Linked DNA regions of Cricetulus griseus. The protein of the gene in region 2 interacts with the protein of the main gene of each other region in a pairwise test. Links are inferred from orthologs where the notes say so. Each region holds a gene or a part of one and is shown on either strand. Other genes may lie near its edges. The genes, in order: Lair1 and Ptpn6.

The links.
Region 1: the proteins of Ptpn6 (region 2) and Lair1 interact in binary tests that used the Homo sapiens proteins (3 or more experiments, as listed by UniProt). The link is inferred for Cricetulus griseus from reciprocal best matches to the Homo sapiens genes PTPN6 and LAIR1.

What each region holds. Positions count from the first base shown.
Region 1 is NC_048602.1:22,315,476-22,328,228, forward strand, and holds the start of Lair1 (leukocyte-associated immunoglobulin-like receptor 1), read right to left. Parts: upstream 8,481-12,753; coding exon 8,447-8,480; intron 5,448-8,446; coding exon 5,412-5,447; intron 4,968-5,411; coding exon 4,852-4,967; intron 4,674-4,851; coding exon 4,573-4,673; intron 3,017-4,572; coding exon 2,775-3,016; intron 1-2,774. UniProt on the Homo sapiens protein: Functions as an inhibitory receptor that plays a constitutive negative regulatory role on cytolytic function of natural killer (NK) cells, B-cells and T-cells.
Region 2 is NC_048601.1:21,675,158-21,687,438, reverse strand, and holds the end of Ptpn6 (tyrosine-protein phosphatase non-receptor type 6), read right to left. Parts: intron 8,330-12,281; coding exon 8,140-8,329; intron 8,006-8,139; coding exon 7,889-8,005; intron 7,788-7,888; coding exon 7,674-7,787; intron 7,546-7,673; coding exon 7,449-7,545; intron 7,055-7,448; coding exon 6,975-7,054; intron 6,792-6,974; coding exon 6,642-6,791; intron 5,134-6,641; coding exon 5,002-5,133; intron 4,880-5,001; coding exon 4,725-4,879; intron 1,738-4,724; coding exon 1,670-1,737; intron 1,575-1,669; coding exon 1,423-1,574; intron 1,328-1,422; coding exon 1,236-1,327; intron 689-1,235; coding exon 574-688; 3' UTR 546-573; intron 367-545; 3' UTR 171-366; downstream 1-170. UniProt on the Homo sapiens protein: Tyrosine phosphatase enzyme that plays important roles in controlling immune signaling pathways and fundamental physiological processes such as hematopoiesis.

The DNA.
Region 1 (12,753 bases), on a different chromosome or scaffold from region 2:
CCCTCTTTGTCCTTCCCCAATCGGACCTCTCCATTCCCTCATGTTCACCCTTCCACTCCCCTTCCACCCTCCCCTCCCCCTCCCCCAGGAGATCTCATTTGTTTCCCCTTCCTAGGCTGATCCATGTGTTTCTCTCTTTGGGTCCTCCTTGTTTCCCAGCTTCTCTGAGGTTGTGGACTGTAGGCTGGTTATGTTTTACTTTCTGTCTGATATCCACTTATGAGTGAGTACATACCCTCGTTGTCTTTGTGGGTCGTGGTTTCCTCACTCGGGTTGGGTTTTCCTGCTTTTGTCGATTTGCCTGTGAATTTCAAGATGCAAAAGAGCATTCTTAAGTGACAGACGGCTGTCGATTCGCACGGAACGGGAATAAGCACAGCTGAGGTGCCGTGGATGTGTGTCCCTGGGCAAAAAGCATTTGATGTGCAAGAGTGGGGACCATGGTTTAGATCCCCAGAACCCACAGCTAAAGTCAAGTGGACATGATAGCCAGCCCAGAATCCCCGTACACAGGAGACAGAGACAGAGAATCCGCTGAGCAATCCTGCTACTCAGAATAGCTGAAGCAGGGAGTCCTGGGGTCAGGCAGAGATCGCACCTCAATGCTGAGGGTAGAAAAATACCACAATAAGACACTCAGCATCAATCGTGGACCTACACACACACACATACATGCATGTATGTAAGCCTGCACGCACCTGAGTTACAACACACATGAGAACACAGAGTACACAACATATATTCCTGTACAAAAAAGTCAGAAAACTAATATGAAATAATATAATATGTTACTTACATCACATAAATTAACATATAAAAAACTTGTGTATGTTATTATCTCTCAAACACACAAATTATACATTCCTCTCCTAATAAATGTGTGCCTATATGCGTGTTATAGTAATAAATTATATCTGTTAAGCTATATATTGCAAATATGAAATAGCATGTGGTACTATTTAAAATGGAGTAACATGCGCTATATATATTTGTAAAGATATATTATATTGTTACATCAATGACATTGTTTAATTTAACTATAGGATAATTTTATCATTCAATATACATTTAATTTTAGACCTGATTCTGTGATTCACCTAATTATCTCTCCATTATGTCTCCAACGGTAGGACCTTTTCTCTTCCCCCACCGTGAGTGTCCAGTTTGACTCATCTTGGGACCGGTGCATTTAAAATGAGAGACTATTTGTTTAAAAAGCCAAAAAACAGGATGGTGATTTAGTGTGTTCAGCTAGCCTCACAGTAACTCAGCCCAGATCAGAGAGATCGCAGTGACTCGGGACCACATCTCCTCCCTACAGGGTGTGGCCCTGGTGCCACTGCCGGGCAGCTTGAGACACAAGGAATGAAAAAAGTCTCATTCCACTTACAACAGCGTCCCAGACTAGTTACCTTTCGCAGGCCACACGCTTCCCGTGGCACTTTCCTCTCGGGGATCCTTATATCTTTGTCAGGCAGGACACTGAAAGAGTCCCCTTAACTGTCGCCAGCAAGGAGGGACCCAACAGGCTCCATGGCGCAGAACAAATGGGAGAAGTGAGGCTAACACCACAAGAGGGCAGCATAGAGCTGCGCAGGCGGAGGCCTGGGGTGTGGCTGCAGGCACTGCTTCTGTCCTGCAGTTTTCAGAACTTGGTATCCTTGACCAAGAACGTTCATTTTCTCCGTATTTAAGATAGAAGGGTTGCTAGGCATAGTGGCGCACGCCTTTAATCCCAGGACTCAGGACGCAAAGGCGGGAGGATCTCTGTGCGTTCGAGGCCAGTCTGGTTTATGAAACAAGTTCCAGGACAGTCAGAATTATAGAGACCCCGTCTCAAAATAAAACAACTACAAAAAATAAATGAAGAAGAAGGAAGAAGGAAGGAAGGAGGAGGAGGAGGAGGAGGAAGAGTCTGATAGTATAAGCCTGGCTTCAAAGCTAAGCAGGAAGCTAGTCAGGACATGAACCCAGCATATAACCCGTTATAAACTACAACACCGGCAACAAGACAAAGCTTATGAGGAGAGCTATGTAGACCCCTTCTCCACCCTAAGTATGGATTCAAAGGGGTGATTTGCCCATCACTCAGCCGCAGACCATGAGAGAGACCTGAAGTGACAGGACAGGGGAAACAGGAAATACGGCAGAGGCCTTCCTAAATCCGTCCTGTTGAATACTGGTCCTTCCTTTGTAAACCCTGTCACTCGATCTGCACACAATAAACACTGAGAAACTCCTAGGAAGCTGTGGGAAGACATGGAAATGGACTATAACTTCTTTTTGTATCCTGACCCCAGTACAATGAGGCCTGACCACAGGCAGGCCATAAGAAAGCACTCCCAAGAGAATAGTCCAGCCCTGCCCGCCAGCCCTCCAGGGACTGACTGTATGACCCGCTTGGTGAGATGGTACCACTCCAGAGGAGATATATTCCTTCAGCCCCCAAGGGCTCAGACTCAGTGGAAGGACAGGATAAATCACCAAGCCCGGTGGAAAGAAAAGAAAACATGTATTCCCAGAAAGGAGTCTACACCCACCATTGCTGGAGCTCAGTCCCTACCCAGTAATCAGGAATAACTCAGTGTCCTACCCCCAGACTGTATCCAAGTCATTCATGGGGGCTGGTAAGAATGCAGAAATCTGGGGGTTAAGGACAGAGGGGACCTGTGCAGAGGCAGGTGGGAGAAAGGAGCCTCGGGTTAAGAAAAAGAAGGGGAAGTTGAGGCAGGGGAGAGCAGCTAAGGTTCAAGTCCAGAGACCTGGGAACAAACCTGAGGTCACTGCTGGGCCTGGGTCTGGAGCCTGAGTGACATCTTCTCTGGTTACCATCAGCTCCAGGATCTCACTGCGTGGGGACCAGTTGGACCCTTTCTCATAAATACAGGAGTAGCGTCCAGCAAAGCTTTCATCCACTGGGCCAAGGTGGAATCTAGCCTCTGTCATGGAATGGAGAGTGTTCTCCTCATCCTTGACTTTCATGTTATTCCTCTCCAGGCGGAATACATCATACCCACTAGGGTTTGAGCACACAAAGGTTACAGTATGCCCTAGGGGGATGCTAAGGCCTGGCTCAGCAGAGATGGAAGGAGCCGACAGAGATCCTAGGAGAGAGCAGAGCAGGAATCTCAGTGTACACAGGCAGGACATTGTCACAACACAAAACCAATTTAGGCACATCAGTCTATATTCCTACCAAGTTTAGAGTTCTCCACTCATGACCAAAGTGCACCTTCATAACACCCTCACTTTCTCTGTGCATTTGAATGCCCATCACATGACACCAAGGAACCTAAGCCTAAGCACATTTAGGTCTAGCAAAGACCCATCCAAGGAAATCTCAGAACATCCCAGACTGGACATGTCTGCTACAGAGCCCACTGCCTCACTGGGAACCACCTCATTCCAGGGAACTCTGCACTTTCTACCTCCATCTCCTTCTGTCCAGTCTGTTATTGGGGCTTTAAAAGCTCACCTGCTTCAAGCTGTCTGAATGTAGGAGCATCCCCAGAAAATCACAGATAAGTATACTTATGCCAAAAGACAAACTTAAGATGCTCACATTTATTGTGTTCAAGGTGATGTCTTGGTGTAACTTGTGGAACAGCTGGATCAAGATAATCAATGTGGATAAAATCACAAACTTACCTTTTTGTGAGGATAACATTCATCACACCCCTTGGCAATTTCCGAGATTACAAATGCATAGTTGCCAGTAGTCATGATGCATAATTGACCTCCTGCCCTCAGCAATGTGTAAACAAAATTTTCTGCCCTTAGACCAACATTTCCTAATCCTCTCTCCTTCCTTCACTCGTTCTTTCAACCATTTTTTGTATCTTAGTCATCATTTGGGGGTTGTTTTCTATGTTTCTATGGCCTCACATACACAAGGAACACAATTTCTTCCATTTGAAGCTAACATGGGAGGGAAGACTGGTGTAGAGAGAATAACTGTCCAGTACTGAGGCACAAAGACTTCAGAGAAGGTGAGGGGTGAGCATAGGAATCTCAAGTGACAAGGTGACATCAGAGGTGTCCTCCCTGAAATGACAGGGGAGAGATAGTTGCACTGAGACCCAAAAAACAGGAGTAAACACCCTGCGCCTAGCAGACAGGGACATGGAGAATCAAACACTGAGAAAACACTGTATAAAGTGCCTCTCAGAGGCCACAGACAGACTCTCTGCTACACAAGGAGAAGCAGTTCAAGAGCTCAGCTGCGGGATACACCAAGGATGATTAACACAAGGCCTCCTGTCCATCGGAGTCACTGAGAGCTTGATTTAAGTGCTTTCCACAAAGTGAAATGTGTGGGATGAATCATTACTAATTGGCTTGATTTGGTCATTCTCTAATATCTATTCATTTCCAAATATGAAGTCAGATATGGTAAACACATGCAATTTTTGTCATTCTAAAATTCATCCTATGAGATACCCCAGAGTGTCGTGGATGCCTGGAGTGTTTAGGGAAAGTGGAAGAAGGTTGAAGAACCTAGAGACAAGCAAGCCTCATAGGACAAGAGGATCAAATGTGAGGGCCATCTGGCTGCGACATCTGTCACCCCACTGATGGCCAGGGTTGATTCGTCTGATCTGGCTGCCTAGGCGGGTGTCCCCTTCCTCCCTCACCAATCCATGTTTGGCCCTCCCGAAGCTTCTGCTGCTCCCCTAATAGAGGACAGGTCTTCAGTGAAGGGTATAGGAGTAGCTGCTCTCCCCTGCTAGAACCTCTAAACAAACCTCTCAAGGACAAAGGGAGTGGCTTAAGTCGGAGTCACCAGCTCTGAGAAACACAGTGGTCTGATTCTGTGTCAAAACAAACTATGGAGACTGAGACACATCCCACCTCAGGCCCAGGGTTCTCATCCAGGGCTCTAGCCTCTGACTGGCAAATGGGGCTCTCAGCCATCATGGAAGAAGTTTCTTTCTGCAGCACCTGGAGGCCATTAGAGCAAGCCTCCTCTGGTCAAAACGCAGAAAACAACGGATAATGGGGGCCCAATCCCAATGGATACATCTGCAGCACGCTTGTGTAACTAAGGCTCTGGGAACATCACAGAAGAGGGAACAGGAAGACTGTGAAATCCAGAAGACAAGGACATCTACAGTAAGAGTGTATCTTCCCAACATGACTGGGAGCTACACCCATGATGCCTCAATAATATGGCTGCCTAAACGTGTCCTGAACAAAGACAACACCAGTTGACATCCCAGCTTGCATGAGGGAAATCTCACAGGGCCCCTTGCCTCGATGAAGAGCTACAAGCATTTAATGACTGCTGAGAGAATCTATTTGGGAGGAATATCACAAGAAATATTGAAGGGTCTCCCTCCAGGCCACCCATGTGCACACGATCCTCTCCAAAGATGCCCATGGGTGTGGAAGCAGCCAAAGACAGGACTCACCTTTTACTGTGTCATCTGTCTGTCCCAGGCACAGCACTGAAAGAAAAGACCCAGTGAGAAAGACACTGAACACATGGTTTGTTTAGACATGAGAATCTAGGAAGGACTAGATGTAGGTGGGGACATCCAGCCTCCCATGATCACCCAACCATCCCTCCTCCCCATTAAAGTCAGAGTATAGTCCTCCTTCTATCTCTGAAAGAACTCTTAAACTACCCCCCAGGCCAGAGACAGAGACACAGACTCAAAATCCCAGGTATGCAACTGGGTCACACGTTCAAGTATGACTTGGGCTACAATGTGACTTGGACTACAGCCCAAGTATCTTAGTTAGACCATGTCCCAAAACCAAAAGTAAAATGGAGTTAATTCAGAGCCTAGCCCAATCGTCATCAGAGAGGCTTCCTCTGGCAGACAACAGGGGCAAATACAGAGACCCACAGCTGAACATTAGGTGGAGCTTGGAGAACCACGAGGGAGAGGAAGAGGAAATGCTGTAGGAGCCAGAGGGGTTGCGGACACCAGGAGAACAGGCCCACAGAATCAACAAAGCCGGTTCATGGGGCCTCACAGAGACTGAAACGGCTATCTCAGAACATACATGAGTCTGCATTAGGACCTCTGCATGTATGTTATGGTTGCTTTTCTTGGGGTTTTTGTGGGACTCCTAACAATGGAAGCAGGTGTGTCTCTGACTCCGTTGTCTGCCCTTGGGACTTTTTCCTCCTGCTGGGTTGCGTTGGCCGGCCTTGATATGAGGGTTTGTTCCTAGTCTTATTGCATCTTGCTATGCCATATTAGATTGATATCCCCTGTGAGAACTGCTCTTCTCTGAAAAGATACTGGAGGAGGAGTGGATGTAGAGGAAATGGAAAGTAGATGGGGGAGCCGGGGGAATGCAGGAAGGGAAAACTCCTGTCAGGATGTATTATATGAGAGAAACATAAATTTAAAAAATGGAAAAGGGTGCTCTCTCTCCTTCTCTCTTTCTTGTCTCTCTTTCTCTCTCCCTCTCTCTCTGTCTCTGTCACTGTCTCTCTCTCGAGCTCCCTCTCCTCTCTCTCTTATCTCTCTCTCTCCTCCCTCTCTCTCCCTCTCTCCCTCTCTCTCTCTGTCTCTATTGCTCTCTCTGTGTCTCTCTCTCCTCTCTCCTCTCTACTCTCTCTCTCCCTCTCCTCTCTCTCTCTTGTCTCTCTCCTACCTCTCTCTCTCTCTCTCTCTCTCTCTCTCTCTCTCTCTCTCTCTTCTACTCTCCTCTCTCCTTCTCTGCTCTTCTCTTCTCCCACCTACGCACGTTCTCTCTCTCTATGGTGACTGGCCATGGCGGTCAGCCATTAACCCTGTTTCTCTTCTTTCTTACTCTCTCTACTCTGCCAGGCCTATAATAAACTGGTTAATATGTCTAATAAAAATGGAAAAAAGTAAAATGAGTGCTGGGTTGGAGAGGGGAGGGGTCACAAGGTCTGCACTCCTAAGCTGAGGAGTTATTTACAGTTGATGGCTTCTGGGGAAGAGAGAATTTTCTCTAAGGGTGTGTGGCCTATGGTGGGTTGAACAAGCTCCAGCAGATGGCCCCATACTCTTGAGTATACAGGAAGCATGAATTATATTCATTGAATTATTAAGAAAAATAAAGGAGATGCAAAATCCGGGAGGAAGGGGTGGGTACAGAATTACAGGCAAAAATGGGGATGAATATGATCAAAACATATTACATGCATCTATGAAATTTTCAAAGAAATAACAAAAAGTGTATTTATCATTATGCCCATGGTTTAATGCATCCCTCTCCCCTACCTCATCTGAGCAGTTTCTGTTAGCAGTCGATAGAGATTAGCACGGAGACCCATAACTGCTCAAGATGTAGAGAATACCAGCCTACAGAATGCTCAGCCTTAAAGCGAACATACTACCATACATCTCCTCCTCCCAAGTCTCAGAGATCATTTAGGAAGAGGAGGGTGGGAAAAACATAAAAGCCAGAGGCAGTAGATGGTTTGGGGGACTACAGTGTATCCTGAACACAGCAGGGCAGCTGCACATACGAATTCACAACGCTTGTGACAGCGTGCACAAGACCTGTGCAAGCCCAGGCCAGACAAATACCAGAATTGAATGGATATTTAGGCACATGCTCCCTACTTTAGCCTTGGAGCTAATGGTAACTGCCGGCTGCTGGAAGAGGGAAAGTCAGTTTTCTTTAAGAGAGTAGCCCCGGGAACTCGGTGTAGTAGAGCAAACTTTTATCTCAGCATTTGTGAGGCAGAGGAAGCTCTATGAGTGAGATCCAGCCTGGCCAACATAGCTCCAGTGCTAGACTACACATGGCAATATTTGGGCAGCGCAAATTGGTCTTAAAGGGCTTCTTTTTTAATGGACACAAAGGAGCCGGGTGGTGGTGGTGCACACCTTTAATCCCAGCACTTGGGAGGCAGCAGAGGTAGGTGGGTCTCTGTGTGTTCAAGGCCAGCCCTGTGTACAAAGAGAGTTCCATGACAGCGACACAGAGAAAGCTTGTCTCAAGAAAACCAAAGTAAGTAAACTAAAAATGAAAATGGAAACAAAGTTGAGTGGGTCGGGAAGAAGGCGGGTCTTGAAAGAGTTGGGAGAGTCATTTAGGAAACTCAAAAAACTAATCCAAAAACGTTTTAAAAAGCAAATAATCTCTGAACAAGGGTGTTCAGTAACACTTATCATCTGTGATCTTAAAAAATAAAAGAAGGGCTTGGATTTATGGAATACTGTGATACTGCGCTTATTTAACATGCATTCAGCCCTTAGTTCAAACTCCAACACTGGGAAAAACAAATGTCCCCAGCTCATCTTCTCCTTCCAAACAGGCTCTTCCTAATTGATTTTTAAGGCTGAATTTGGCCACATGCCCCATCCCTGTTTCTAGCAACAAGTCTCCAAGGAGGAGATGGGTTGGAGAGACTCTCCTCCCAAGGTCTCCAGAATCTGCTTGGCATGAGTGGGGAATAGAACCCCCTTCCCCAAATCACCTGCCCCATGCCTCCATTTACCCCAGGACTCACCGAGGGCCAGCACCGTGGCAAGACAAAGTGACATGATTCGGGCTCCAGCAGCCTGACCAGGTCTGGAGCTGAAGCCCTGCAGCCGACACAGTAAGCAGGATGTGTGGACTGGAGCTAGTCGCAAGGTTTCTATATCAGTTTCCTCCCGTGAAGAGGAAGAGGTTTCTCCTCTGGGCTTCCACTCTTTCCCTTAGTCACTGACTCTTTGAGAAGGTATCAGATTCTGAGAATAACATCAGACCTCGGAGCTCAGGTGCAACCAAACTCATTGCTCAACACGTTTGTCTTGCTGTAAACATGTGAGACACAGAGGTATAAGATTTTACACATCAGTCCTTATTTTAGGAACAAATGACCATTGATCCTTGGGTAAGGTATTTCAACACCCAAAACCCCCATTTCATAATGTTTAAAATGAGAATCATCATAAAGTCTCCCCTCTCTGCTTCTCCTCTCTCTCTCACTCCCTCTCCTCTCTTTCTTGTCTCTCTCTCCCCTCCCTCTCTCTCCCTCTCTCTCCCCCTCTCTCTCTCTCTGTCTCTGTTGCTGATGTCTCTGTCTCTGATGTTACAATCTTTGTAAGAGCCCAAGCAGATATTTCACACATTAAATGTGTCCAGCTATGGACAATCACTTTTACTATTAAATAATACTGATGTGTGTGACTAGGAGTCAGAGGGCAACTTACTAAAGTTGATTCTTTCCCTCTACTACGTAGGCCCTAGGGATTGCACTCTGGTTTTTTAGGCTCAGAAGCAAACAGCTGTACCCACTGAGCCATCTCACTGACCCAGACCACATTTTTTAAGATTTATTTTTATTATGTGTGCATTGGCGTCTCACTTGTCTGTGTGGCTGTGTGAGGACGTCAGATGCCATGGAACTGGAGTTGCAGACAGTTGTTAGCTGCCAGATGGATGTTGAGAACTGAACCTAGGTCCTCTAAGTAACTGTCAGTGCTCTTAACCACTGAGCCATCTCTCCAGCCATGGATGATATTTTTAAGAGATAACAGGAGTGGAGAAATTGGATCTTTTTCATACTGTTAACAGGAACCCAGAGCGAATTAGTCAGGATCATTTTGGGGGACCTGTGGCTCTCCTTCCATGCCACTAGTGGGGGTAAAATGTATAAATCAGAGGGAAGAGAGCCCTTCCTCTTTGGAAATAGCATGAAGATTGCACAAAATAAGAAATTAAAAATAGAACCTGTGTAACAGGATGAAATAAGTATGGAAGTGATATGTCAGCAGTCGTGTAACCATTGCAACACTCTTCACAAGGGCTATGGTGGAGAAATAATTCCAAAGCGCACATGAAAAAGCGTGGTGTATGTACACAGTGGAACTGAGAAGATAATAATGATGCCGAAGGAAAAACAGCATAAGGCTGGACCTTCCAGAAATTCCTTGACCCAATGAAACCAACAACCCCAGAAGGGCAGGCACTGCATTGTTCCCCTCACATGAAGTATGTTAAGTAGACATATTCAAGCTGGACGTGCTGAGGCCTGCCTGAAATCCCTGAACTTGGGAGGATGAGGCAGGAGGATCACCGTGAGTACAAGGCCAGCTTGCACTACACAGTGAGTTCTGAGCCAGTCTATCTCAAAAACTGTAAAACGGATAAGAAGTCAAATTCATAAAAAGAAAAGTTCGTGATGTTGTCTACCAGAAGGAAAAAAAAATGGGGAAATTATTTATCAACAGAGAGTATTTTTAGTCAATCCATAAGAATGACTCTAAGATAACTTGATATTGAACCGCACAGTGAAAATGTTAAGAAAACAGATTTCTCCCTTTTCTCTTTCTTAGCTAGGTTTTCTATTGCTGCAATAAAACACCACGAGCAAAAGCAACTTGAGGAGGCCAGGGTTTGCTTCATCTTAGACTTTCAGGAAACACTATCCCTGAGGGAAATCAGGGCAGGAACTCAAAGCAGGAGCCTGGCGGCAGGAACTGAAGCAGAGCCTGGGAAGGAAGGCCTCTTATTGGCTTGCTCAGTCTTCTTTCTTATACAACCCAGAGCCATCAGACCAGGGGATGCACCTCCCGCTGTGGGCTAGGTCCACCCATATCCATCAATAATCAAGAAGATGACTCAGAACTTTACCCACAGGTCAGTCTGATGGGTGCTTTTTTCTTAATTGAGATTTTCTCTTCTCAAATTACTGTGGCTTGTGTCAAGCTGACAAAACACTAGCCAGCTCTCTTTCCATCTCCCCCTCCCATTCCTCCTTCCCTTTCCCTTCCCCCCTCTCTTTCTCTCTGTCTTTCTTTCTTTCTTTCTTTCTTTCTTTCTTCCGCTCTCTGTCCCCTCCCCCTCCCTCCCTCTCTATATTCTTGCAATACCATTGAAACCATTTTGGGCCAGAGTGACATAAACAAAATTCTAAAGGAACTGAATAGACAAGAGACAGACCCAGGGTTTGAGGATGAATGGATACCCTTATGTCAAAGCCAGAAAAGGCAGTGCTTTGCCTGCCACTAGCAAAGGGAGAAGAGAAGCATCCTCTCGTGGCGTCTCTAAGGTCTTCTGTTTCTGAAGACAGGCACGGTGACTCCTCAGTACCTTGCTCCCAACAGACACTGGTGGTTCTTGACTAAACAGCTTGTGCTCAGTCCCCGTCCTAACAAAGACCTAGCTCTGTGTAAGTAGCTCTGTTCTGAGCCTCTGAACATGGACAGGGAAGAAACAAAATTTGAACTCAGACCATTTAAACAGTCCAACCTGTAGCCCACACAGGTCCTGACCTTGCCATGGTCCTTCCTAACCACCCAAGGAGCTGGGATGGTAAAGCTCGTGTTGCCAAGCCCAGTTTTCCCAAATCAGCTCAGATGACCAAATACAACCAAATGATACTCAACGTGAAATGTATTTTATGTATTGAGGTTTAGTGGAAATCAAGCCTTTCTTTAAAAAAAAAGGGGGGGGAGGGTTGCAAGGAGGCTTTTGCCCTCCTTTACTTCTGTCAACTACATCACCAGGATGTGACTTACATACAGTCATTGTGGAACAGAATGAACTAACGCTAAGCAAAACACTAACCAAACATGAGAGTCAGAGTCTCTAGGAAGTTGCTGAGTTGCTAAATCAAAACTTGAAATTTTCCATCTTTGTAATTCCTCCTACTCTCTCCTTCCCTTCCTCTCTCCTTCCGTACTCCATCTTTTCTTTCTTCAGTAGTAAGGGATAAATGTAGGGTCTCCCACATGCCAGGAAAGCACTCTACCATTGAGTCATAGCTCCAAAACCCTTTAAACTTTTTTCTTGTAACATATTTTTCCCTTTGTTTTATGTGCATGAGTGTTTTGGCGGCATGTATGAAAATTTTAAAAATGTATTATGAACCAACTCCTAATGACATAGATTACCAGATATCTCAAGCCTCATCAGAGAAATTGTTAGAGTTTATGGAATAGAACTAAATATATTATATTTTGTACTTTTATTCATGTATATATTCCTCTTTAAATTTCTCCTTCTTTTTAAGACACGGTGTTATATAGCTAGGCAAGCCTTTAATTCACTATATAGTCAAGGATGACCTTGAATTCCAGATGTGCTTGCTTTTACCTCCCAAGTTATGAAATGACTGACATGTGCCACAAGCTGTGTTGGGTTTGTTTGTTTGTTTGTTTGTTTATACTCATGGAATCAAATTAGTGATGCCAAAATATTCTTAGATGAAAAGACATCCATTGGATCATGGCCAACCTACGATGGGTCACACCCTTAAAGTAAACTGGCTCTCCCTCTCATGGAAGCCATCAATTGCCAGTCAAACCTAAGCTACAAGTGGGACCTAAAGAGCTTTGCCCCATCCATACTGGACTTTTAACTGGCTTGATCTTGTACAGATCACCATAGTTCAGGACCTAATAGTCATGTCATGTCCAGCATTTCACAGGACCCCCTCCCATCCTCTGGTCCTTACACTCTATCTACCCCTCTTCCATGATGGTTCCTGAGCCTTGGGGGCAGGGACAAGTTGATATTGGTGTCCCATCTATGGCTGAGCACTCTAAGGTGGTTATTCTCAGTACTTTTCTCAGTTATGAGTGTAAACATCAGCCACTACATGCTGCAATGAGAAGTTTCTTTGACCAAGTTTGAGATCAGCACAAATTATAAGGCCATAAACACAAATATTGAAAGGTGCTTTGAAAGCATGTTCGTTTAGCAAAACAACTGTAAGTTCCTCCGCTAGGTGCTCTTACCTCCCTAGCCACAATTAGGGCTACAGTTATAGCTAGCTTCTAGCCATAGGTTTTGACTGTTTACAATACCTTCTCTCTCTCTCTCTCT
Region 2 (12,281 bases):
CAGTCTAACTAAGCCTTAGGAATGCCACAGGCTGCTGTGTGAAGCAGCATCCAGAACCAGGTCTCTCTGAGCCACAAAGTTGAGCTTCTATGCAATCACACATAACATCCCGGTCCCACCCTGCCCAGAGTCCCAGGATACATGGGACACACAGAGTTGGAGGCAACACACAGTGGTCCAGGGGCTTTATTTACAAGAATAGAAGTCTGGCTTTGCCTGAAGACTTGCTGGGCTATATACAGGTTCAGAGGACCACAGCCATTTAAATACATGAGGATGGGGTGGTCCTAAGGTCTGGTGTGTGGGGGCCACAGGTCTTGATCTGCCCAGTGGAGGCCTCTGCAGGGATTGAGGCTGATGCTGATGCTGCAGATAAAAGAGAAAAAGTGGGTCAGAGGGTATCTGGGGCCTGGAGAGAGGGCACGAGAAGATCTGGGGACATCCTGGCAGGGTAGCATTAGATTGTGACCTCCCCACAGCATGTCAGAACTGCTGTGGGAGCAACTGGGGCAGGGAGAGAGAAGACTACGCAGAAGGGGCCTCACCATGGCCACCTGCAGTCGAAGGCCCAGCTCACTTCCTCTTGAGGGACCCTTTGCTCTTCTCCTTATCTGCTGACCGCTGCTTCTTCACTTTCTCTTCCTTCTTGTTCTTGCTGTGCACGTTTTCATACACCTCCTCCTTGTGTCTGGGAGGTGAGGGAGGAGGGGAGAAGACATTCAGAGACTCTGCAGACCCTCCACACTCCCTCTCACTCAGTGAAGCCAGGAAAGCTTAGATAACCTGCTCACTGTCCATTCACTAGACCCAAAGCTCCCAGGACACAGACTACACTCACGCATGTGTCCACAGCTGGGCCATAGCATGGGCCCACACAGAGTAACAACGCACACTTCAGAAAATACTTAAGAGGGCTGGAGAGATGGCTCAGAGGTTAAGAGCACTGGCTGCTCTTCCAGAGGTCCTGAGTTCAATTCCCAGCAACCACATGGTGGCTCACTACCATCTGTAATGGGGTCTGATGCCCTCTTCTGGCCTGCAGATAGAGCACTAATATACATAAAATAAATAATTAAAAAAAAAAAAAGAAAATACTTAAGAACAGAGGTACTAGGAAGAAGGTTGACCTCGAACCAGGGTCTCTCCAACTTCCACACTGGTCCACTCCAGAAAGGACAGTTAAGGCTAGGCAGGAGAAGGGAGAAGATGTTGTGAGGGCAAGCAGGACCACTCACTTGGAAGAGGTACGGGAGGCCTTGGCGTGGGCACTCTTCATAGCGGGAGGGTAGGTGATATTCCCATACTCCGACTCCTGGCCCTTCCGGGACTGTGGGCAAAGGTGTGGTGGGAGGATGGTAGTACCAGCACGACTGGGTGATGCCCACTCTCCCCTACCACCCATCAGCCCCACTCTGCACACACTTGTATGATCTCCAGTTTCTTCTTGGTCGTTTCAATGAACTGGGCAATGGCCACATAAATGAACTTGTACTGTGCCTCTGTCTGCACCATGCCAGAGCGCTGTGCCCGTACCATCTGGATGGTCTTCTGGATGTCAATGTCACAGTCTAGCCCTGGACAAGGGTGGCAGTGGGACTTCAGGGTAGGCGAAGGTCAAGGGACTGCTTGCCCCTCCCCCACACCCACTCTCGTTCCCCAGGATCCTCACCCTTGGTGGAAATACTCTCCATGAGCATGTCAATGACAATGATGGTGCCTGTTCGGCCAATGCCAGCACTGCAGAGAGAAGGCACCGCCATCAGAGGCCCAGCTCTGCCCAGGAAATGGGGAGGCCAGGGGTTAACCCCAGCACTAGGTAAGGTGTGAAGAATCCAAAGCTCCAGCCACAAGGGTCGGTAATGTACCCAGGTCATTAGGCCAGCGAAGCAGGTGTATGCCCGTCTCTGCTCCCATTCCTCTGCCCCAGTCACAGGATGGACAAGCAGGTGCCAGTTTCCGGGCTAGAGATATCATTTCCCTCCTTCGCAGCATTTGTCCCCAACTTTCTGTTCCCACCCTTCACTCTTCCTAACTGACGGCTATCCTCATCCCTTGGAAAAACAGAACTCCACACCATGCCATTGTCCTGCCTGCTCCTCAGGGCATTCCAACCTTCAAGAGTTACATTCGGAGTGGGGCATTGGTGGTGCACACCTTTAATCCCAGCACTCGGGAGGCAGAAGCAGGTGGATCCACCGAGTTTGAGACCAACCTGGTCTACAGGGTGAGTTCCAGAACAGCCAAGGCTACAACAACACAGTGAAATCCTGTCTCAAAAAACAAAAAAAAGAGTTCCATTTGGAACTAGGCATGGTGGCATATGATTTTAATTCCTGCACTCAGGAGGCCAGCCCAGTCTACACAGAAAGACACAAACAAATTACATTTTGGATGAGTGTGGTGGCTCGGTGGCCATCATGCAAGCAAGCCTGAGAACCTGGTATCAGATCCCCAGTGTACACAAAAAGGCCAGGCACAGTGGCCATATAATCCCATTACTAGGAGGTTAGGTTAGCTCATTGGCCAGCCAGCCAAACTGAAGTGATAAGCTCCAGGTTCAGTGAGAGACCCTATCTCAAAAAATAATGTGGAGAGCCTGGTGTGTTAATGCCAGTACTGAGGATGCAGACAGAAGTTGACTGTGAGTTTGAGGCCTACTTGGTCTACCTAGCAAGCTCTAGGCCACTGAGCCACATAGAATGAGAGACACATACACTATAGACAGACAGACAGACAGACAGATACAAGTATAGATATATAGATAGGAGAGACCATATAAAAACACTAGGACCTCTGGCCTCCACAGAAATGCCCACACATGTACACACACCACACACAGACACACACACACATAGTTACATTTTACTTAGGGTATGCCTCGGTGGTAAAGCATGTGTTTCACATGCTTAAGAACCTGGGGTCCTATCCCTAGAAACACACACACACACACACACACACACACACACACACACACACACTATACACGGGGTGGGGGGGCATTTGTCCTTTCTTTTTTTTTTTTTTTTTTTTTTTGGTTTTTCGAGACAGGGTTTCTCTGGCTTTGGAGCCTATCCTGGCAGTCGCTCTGGAGACCAGGCTGGCCTCGAACTCACAGAGATCCTCTGTGAGTTCTCTGCCTCCCGAGTGCTGGGATTAAAGGCATGCGCCACCAACGCCCAGCTGTCCTTTCTCTCTGTGGAACTTCCTTTCTCTTTTCTTCGACATGGCAAAACTGTAGGGGCTGGCCCAGGACACGTGCAGCAGAGAAAGTGCAGTAGCATGCCTCCCTTTTCCAATGCCCTCTACCCCCACCCCCCACCTCCCACACCCTGAGGAAACAGATGATGCAGACCCCGGACCTGCCTACAGTCCAGTCCATGAGGCTGGTATCGAAAGTTGAGCTGTCTAATTTCAAACCCAGATTGTCAAAAATAAACCCCATACCACTTCCTTCCTGTAATTTCTAAATAAAGGCCATGGGGATTTCAAGAACTGTGTGAATGGGGGAGGGGTAGGAGAAAGGTAGTTCTTGGGGATGAGCTGTCCCTGAGATGGTAGAGTGCAGAGCTTGGCCCCCAAGACAGTATGGGGGTACTCCCAGCCTAGCTGCAGGACAGTTGTTAGTGGGGGAAGGAGGAAGTCTGAAGCTTCCACAGGCCTCGGGTTACAGGGACAGAGGAGGAAGGGGACAAAATTGGTTCCTGTTTCTCCAGATCGTACATAAGAAGCCATCAATGGTGTACACACAGAAACACATACACACACTACTGACATACATACATACATAAACACACATGGACACACACACACAGATATACGCGTACATATATCCATACATACCCAGACACAGAGATAATACACATATGCATAGAGACATACGCACAGGCAAGCACAAAGACACAGATATACACACAGATGCACAGAAACTTTTTTTTTTAAGACAGGTCTTTTTTTTTTTTTTTTTTTCTGGCTTTTCAAGACAGGGTTTCTCTGTGTAGCTTTGGAGCCTATCCTGGCACTCGCTCTGGAGACCATGCTGGTCTTGAACTCACAGAGATCCGCCTGCCTCTGCCTCCCAAGGTCTTATGCCTGGTGTAGCAGCACAGGCCTTTAATCCCAGCACTGGGGAGTCAGGGCCAGACAGATTCCTGTGAGTTCGAGGCCAACCTGGTTTACAAAGTGAGTTTAGGAGAGCCAGGGCTGTTACACAAAGAAGTCCTGTCAAGAAAAGGAAGGAAGGAAGGAAGGAAGGAAGGAAGGAAGGAAGGAAGGAAGGAAGGAAGGAAAGAAGAAAAGATCTTACTTATATGGCCTGGATCTCACGACACTCCTGTCTCAGCTTCCCAAACGCTAGACTACAAGTTTAGCCACCATGCCCAGCAATGGCAGTGACAAGGACCCACAACCGGGTCCACCCACAGGCCTGGAGTAGTGAAGGAGCCCGGAAGACATTGAGGGTAAGGGAAGGCATTCAGTGAGTCCCTATCTGTGTTGCTGACCGCTTGTCAGCTGCTGTTTTGGGCGGGGAGTGGGGGGCAGGTGGGGGGTGTGGCCTGCATGAATGTCTGTCCGCCATGTGCATGAGTGCCCTTGTAGGTTATAGGGGTGTTGAATCCCCTGGCACTGAAGTAATAGAAGGTTATATACATCACTGTGTAGGTGCTGGGCACCTCTGTAGCCCCAGCTGCTGTGTTTTTACACCGCACCCATGTTAGATCTCTTACCTGCAATGCACAATGATAGGCCCTGCGTGAGGCAAGCGTTCCTGTCGCTGGTTGATCTGGTCCAGGAAGCTGAGAACACCCCCAGGCTCACTGGGGACCCCATGGTCAGGCCAGCTCAGGTACTGGTAGTGCCATATCTCCCGAACCAGGTCCCCCTAGGCCAAGGACAGAGTCAGTACTTGCTGCTTCCACACAATATCCCTGTCCCACCCACCCAAACTAGAGCACAGATTTGAGGCGAGGCCCCCTGGAGTGTGCAGGGACTGGGGACACTCACATTGTCCAGTGGGGAGATCTGTAAAGTGCGAAGTTTGTATTCTGCGGTGTCATGCTCTCCACAGTTGGTCACAGAGTAGAGCCCATAGACTCGCTGAGTGCCCACCTCTGGCCAGTATGGAACACATTTGTTCTGAAAAGAGAGATGGGAAGGGATAAAGCACAGAGCTTTCCGGGGCTTTCTGGGCCCCAAGGCCTAGTGAGGTTTTTGGGTTTTTTGGCACAGGTGTATAGGCACAAACGTGGGGGCAGGGTGAGATGTGGAGGCAGAAGACCGATGCTGGGAGTCACCCTCCATCACTCTTCCACCGTATTCACTGAGGCAGGATGTCTCAGTCAAACCCAGAGCTCGCTAATATGGCAAGTCTTGCCAGCCAGCTTCTCTGGGGATCCCCTGTATCCTCCTTCCAAAGCTGGAATTGTGAGTAAGCCCCTCTGCCCACCCAGAATGTACAATAGTTCCTGAGGACCCGAACTCCAGCCCTCACGCTTTCATGCAAATGCTCCCCAACTGAGGCTTCTCCCCACCCCTCACCGGACGTTTTTTAAAGATGGATGAGCCCACTCAAAATCAGACCTGGGATCTGGCCTCAGGCTAACCACCTCTAGATAAGACCTGATCAGACATCTAACCGTATAATCTATCCAGTGACCACTGACGCTGTACCTACCGAGCTGTGGTTCAGACTCAAGTAAGAGACAGAGACAGTGGGCACAGTTCAGCAAGAGCGCATGTGCTTAGCGTGTACAAAGCTAGGAGTTCCATCCCTAGCACTACAAAACCCAGAAGACCAAGTCAGACAGTGTCCGTGTCCTAGGACAAGGGGCGATGCAGGTAACACAGACAGACAGAGCATGTCTGAGGAGCAGGGGGCTAGGGAAGGAGCCAGTTCTCCCGCAGGGCTATGGAGGCAATGCAGGATAGTCTGGGAGGCATGGCGGTCCAGGAGAGCCATTTCCTAGCAAAAACCGCCTCGTGCCTTCAGAAGCTGACACACTCAGACCAGCAGAGGAGATGTGCTTTACAGAGAAGCATGAGGATTGGAAGGAAGCCACCAGGCTTGCAGGGACAGTTCTTCATCCCAGAAGCAACTGGGAGCCACAGAAGGATTTTCAAAGAAAGCAGCTGGACGCTGTGTGCTTCTGGTAGGAAAACCTCCCACTGCACAAAGGGGCTGACATTTAAAGCTTCTGTGGTGCTGAGGATAGAACCCAGGGTTCCTGTACCGGGCAAGTGCAATGCCACTGGGCTATATCATCACTTCGGAGCATCCGGAGCTCAGGAGACCTGGGGTGCCCAGGAGTCACAGTGTATAGTGGAGACTTTATGTCAGGCCTCCATTTCCTAAGAGGTACTGGGCCTTTGCCACTGAGGTGTGTATGTGTAAGTTAGATTTCTGTGTGAGTGTACATGTATAGGGACACATTGACTACACACCATGCATGCAGCAGTCAGAGGACAGTTTGCAGAAGTCAGTTCTCTCCTACCTGGGTCCCAGGGATTGAACTCATGATGCCAGGCTTGGCCACAAGCACATGGTTTGTGAGCCATCTCACAAGCCCCTGATCTTACTTGTGTGTGGTGGTGAACAAGGACTGAGGAGGAAAATGTAGGGGTCAGGAAGGTGAGGTTTGCCCTACCCGGCCTTTCTCCACCTCTCGGGTGGTCATGACGATGATTCGGGTGTTCTCCTGCCAGACCATCTGCCAGAAGTCATTGACTGTGGCCTCCAGACAGCCCTGGCTGGCGATGTAGGTCTTAGAGTTCTCATCTGGACCTAGCAGCTGGTTCTAGATGCAAGCACAGAGAGACCCAGCCCGGGACTGTGAATTGCTGGGCATAAGATGTGCCCGTACCACAGTCACCCCTACCAAGGTACCAGCTCGTTTTCCCCAGAGGCACTGTACCCGGGGACCCTAACACACCTGGAGCTCTCAGGGACATGTCTGTCCCACACGGCTCACCCCACTCACCCTGACATAGTTAGCATTGATGTAGTCGGACCCAGGGATGTTACTGTCACGTCCCTGCAGAATCACTCGGCTATGGTCAACTGGCATGGGGAGAGAAGAAACAGCTTGGGCCACACCCTTGGGAAGGGGCAGACCCTTCCCAAGCTCTCAACTGTTCTTGTCTCCAAAGTCATAAACTCATAGAGGATAGGACAGCAGGTAGGGACAAATGCCTCTGGAGTGGGGGGGTGGGGGAGACAGAGGCTTTGTGAGCAGAGGTTGGCAGGGCAAGCATTATTGCCCGATGGCTGCGGAGAGGCTCTTGGAAAGTGAGGAGGCTTCCTGGGAAAGGAGAGCTCTGCTGGGCAGTGAGAGGCAGAGCTTCTGAGGAGAGGATGGGATACGTAGTGGGGGGACAGTGAGGGGCAGAGCTTCTGAGAGGATGGGATGGGTAGGGGTCTGCGGGGGCATGAGGGGCGGAGCCATAGTGCTCACAGGGAAGGATGTTCTTGTAGCGGTTCTTGCTCTTGTTTTCTGGCCGCTGCCCTTCCAGGCGCTGGTGCAAGTTCTTTACCTCCTGCTTTTGCAGACTCTGAAATGTGAGAGAAATGAGCCCCCGCCCCGGGGCACATCCACAGGTGGAGAAGTCATAGGTCAGAGCCACGTCAGAGGCACACAAAGAGGGCAAGGTGACCCAGCCTCACTGTCCCCAGAACACACCTCAAACTCTTCCCAGAAGCCGGCCTTGGCTGTGTCCTCTGACTCCTGCTTCTTGTTCAGTTCCAAGACCCGGTTTTCGATGTCAGCAGCATTTACCCGAGTGGCATAGTAAGGCTAGGATGACAAAGGGCAGGAAGTCATCGGCTAAGAGACCTCAGAAGCCCACATCTTCGATGGCTCAGGGGAAAGCAAGAGGCAAGATGCTGGCCCCTCACCTGCCGCAGGTAGACAAAGGCACCTGAAGCCTCCTCAATCCCAGTCTTCCTGAAGTGCTCCACCAGGTCTGTGAGGCTGTCAAATGTCTCTGAGCCACCCACAGTATAGCGTCCACCCTGAAGGACACCAAGTAGGGCCACCCGTCAGGGCCGAGTCCCCCTTCTGGCACTCCCAGTCTTAAATCCAACCCAAGAAGACCCTCCCACTGAAGGTCCGGCATGAGGCCTTCCCCACAGCCCAGCTGACTTACCTCACACATCACCTTGATGTGCGTGACCTTGAGTGGAGAGCCTGGGCCAGCTTTGGGCTGGTCATTGAGCACGGACAGCACGAAGTCACCAGGCTGGCTGAGACTCTCACGCACAAGAAATGTCCAGGGCTCACCCTTGGCCTGCAGCAGTGTCTCTGCCTGCCCTCCAGACATGTGGCCATGGTACCACCTAGGGACGTTGAAAAGATGGTGGGCAGGTCCCACAGTGAGCACTGACACCCGCTACCTTCCAGGCCTGAGCTACAAGCTTTCAAATCCACCACGACGTTTAGATCCATTACATCTCACAAAAATGCTGTGAGGAAAAAGCCAGGCTTGGAGCTAGAATCCCAGCTCCTCAGGAAACATGAGAATAGTAGTAAATTTGAGGCCAGCATGATCTACGTTGGGACACACACCTTTAATCCCAGCCCTCAGAGGCAGAAGCAGGTGGATCTACAGAGTGAGTTCCAGGATAGCCACAGAGAAATCCTGTCTCAAAAAACAAATAAACAAACAAACAAAAAACCTGCCTGCTTCTATTTCTATAAATAAATAAGTGGGTTATGATGGCTTGCTTTTATTTTGTTTGTTTTTTTGGAGATAGTGTTTCTCTATGTAGCCCTAGCTCACATTTATAATCCCAGCATTCAAGAGGCTGAATGGCCTCAATGAGGCCAGCCTGCTCTACATGGTAACTTTCAGGCCAACTTGAGCTACAGAGTAAGTAAGACCCTATCTCTGGGACCTGGAGAGATGGCTCAGAGGTTAAGAGCACCGAATGCTCTTCCAGAGGTCCTGAGTTCAGTTCCCAGCAACCACATGGTGGCTCACAACCATCCGTTATGAGATCTGGTGCCCTCTTCTGGTGTGCAGATATACATGGAAACAGAATGTTGTATACATAATAAATAAATAAAATCTTTAAAAAAAAAAAAAAGATCCTATCTCCAAAACAAACAGCCAGGCGTGGTGACACATAACCTGTAACTCCAGCCCTGGGTTGGCAGAGATAAGAGGATAACTGTAAGTTTGAGGCTAGCCTGGTCTACATAATGAGTTAGTTCCAAGCTAACCTGAGCTACAGAGTAAAATTCTGTCTCAAAAAAAGAAACAGCAGAGCTGGGCAGTGGTGGCTCACGCCTTTAGTCCCAGCACTTGGCAGGCAGATCTCTGTGAGTTTGAGGCCAGCCTGGTCTGCAAAGTGAGTTGGAAGGAAGGAAGGAAGAAAGGGAGGGAGGGAGGGAGAGAGGGAGGGAAAAAGAAAGAAAAGATGTGAGAAAGAAAAAAGTGAGATGGCTGAGGGTAAGAATTTTTGCTATCAAGCCCACAACCCAAGTTCGATCCCCAGGACCCACATGGTAGAGGGAGAGAACCAACTCTGATAGGTTGTCTTCTGATCTCTCTGCACACACTAAGACACATAAGTTCTATAACAAAAATCTTTTAAACAATGAAACAAAACAAAAGCTGAGAGATTGCCATTTCCCCAACTTTACAATAAGAAAATGGAGGTCAAGCACTTGCACACTGGTCCTAGGTCCTAAACTGATAAGCGAAAAGGCTCCACAGAGTTCACACCATGGAGACTGGGGCTATAGCTCAGTGGGAATGGAAGACCCTGGGTTCCATCCCCAGCACTGAAATCAAGGGAGAAGGGAGGGAAGGGGGATGTTCTAACAAAAATCCAGAGCCTCTTCTGAGTGTTTACAATGAACAGGCAAGTAAAACCCAGAACATTTGGAGGGACAAAAAGACTCATCCCCATGAAATGCAGACTTGGACTGGGTTAAAGGAGGGACAGTAAAATGTAGATGGACCCAAAGCACAGAAGGCAGTGGTTGAGGTGACAGAAGTCGGGAAGGACCAATGGTAAACTCCGGAGTGATGTGGGGACACAAACACTTGACTGAGAGGGTAGTCTCAGGGTTCCGGGGAGCCCAGGATGGTGTGAGTGAAGGGCTCAGAGGGGCTGTAGGGCAGAAAGCAGAACTAAGGACCTTTCCGTGAAGCGCCCCTTCCCAGGAGGAAACTGTAGCCCCACAATGCCTAGCCTCACAGGAAACCACGTGATGGAAAAAATACAAAACTCCTTCTGGGGAGAGAGTGAGAAGTGAGGTGGTGAGGTTTCTTCAGCTTAGGGACAGAGGGGGGGGCAGCATTTTCCAACCGCAAGGATTGGGGTGGGGAGAGTGGGGCTCAGTCCTGATCCTTCTCAACTCTGCCCAGAGGACACCATAGCTCAGGGCCCTTCAGAGGCTCCTACCCCAACCCAGATGTCCTGGGCTACCCCAGCCTATCTCGGAGACAGCCCAGGGCCCCCAAGCAATGTGAGGGGGCTCAGCTCCTTCCCTCAGGGACAGGATGAGGAAGTCTCCATGCAAATGTGAACTGACCACAGGCAGAGTTCACCACTGAGGGGACAAATGCAAATTTCCCAGAAGAGGCAGGGCAAGGACACAAGGAGTATTGGGCCATGGCTTCCGCACACCCTAGAGTTAGGGATGAAACTGAGCTTCTGGGTCATCCAAAGTGCCTCTTGGAGTCATCCAAACCCCTCAGTGGTCTGTCACCCATGTAGTGTTGCATGCTTCCCCTGTCTGTCCTACCCTGCTTCCCTGACACCCGTCAGCTCCCCCCTCCTCCCCTATCACAGTGAACATACCAGCTACAATTCTGCTATGCCTCCACAGTCCGTGTCCTCTAACACAGCAGATCCTGGCTTGACAGCAACAAGGGGAGACAAGGAGGTAAAAGAGCATCCAAGAGGCCAAACCACCTTAAGTGTTGCAGGTAGGAGGGGGAAGGAGAGAGCATGAGGCATGCCCTTCCTTTCCATCCACCACCAGAGGAGAAAAGCCTTCAAGGAAGTGTAGACCAGCCTCTTCGTGTTGGCTGGAAAGGGATCTCCAGAGGTGAACCACAGGGGCTTTTACCCCAATCATTCAAGTTCTACCTTTGTTTGTTTGTTTGTTTCAGTTTTTTAAGTCAAGGGTTTCGTAGCCCAGGCTAGCCTCAAAAGTGCTATGTAGTTGAGGACGAATTTGAACTTGTGGTCTTCCTGCCTCCTCCTGGGATTGCAGACATATGTCACCACTCAAGGTTTATGCAATACAGAGAATCAAACCCAGGGCTTAATGCAAGCACTTTGCCAACTGATCCACAGACCTTAGGCCTCCAGTTCCAAGTTTTAATAGGTGACTTGAACAAAAATATTGAGCTAAGTCTGTAGGCACAAATCTCAAAAAAGACTACAAACCACTGGGAAGTGGCTCAGTGGCAAAGCACATACCCGATAAGCACAAGGTCCAGAGTTCAGGCCCCAGCAGAGGGTCTGGAGTCGGGGGTGGGGGTCAAGGTTCAGAATCATTTCAACAGTAAATACACAAACCCAGAACAAGTTGGTATGCGTGGCCCCAGAAGTCCATGAGAAAGAACCCCCTAGTGTTATTCCATGCCCTTTACCTCAATAGGAGCTGTGTCAGTCACTATGCTGTACAGCTAAGATGAGTTACTGTGTAATGAAGGACATCTATTTATATGCCTCTCCTTGCAAGTGCTCTGGGGAGACCACCCAAGAACAGCCAGCCAAGTTATGGGGGCCATGTCCTTGCAGCTCTGGTGAGGGATATCCCAAGTGTTTCCTGGAGCCGGGTAAGCCTGGGTCCTTACCCCTCTATACCTGTGACCATATCAATGACCTTGCTTCACCCAAGCTCTGCAACCCCATCCTCACTGTGTTGTTGAGATAAAGCCCTAAGTATCCCAATAACAGGGATCCCTAAGACCTTCCTAACATGGGGACCTAAAAGGCCCAGACTGTGGAGAGCTGAGGGAAGGCAACAGAGTTCCATAGAAGGAAGAGCTTTCTAGCAATAGGGCCAACCTGATGGGAAACACCAGCCACAAGGAGTGGCCTCACTGTCACTCTCTGGACTAGGTTGCTAGACAGCAGGAACCCTACAGAAAGGCAAGGGGAGCCCTTCTCTTGCTTCCTCAGGGGACAGGGGATGGGTTAGTTAAGGGACTCATCAGGTAGAGAGGAAAGCGGCTAGGGCTCTGAGATAGAACAGGGGTGGCAGAGTAGGCATGAGGAACGGACTGAGCAGGTCACTTGGGCTGGGTGCTCCTCTCCTTTACAC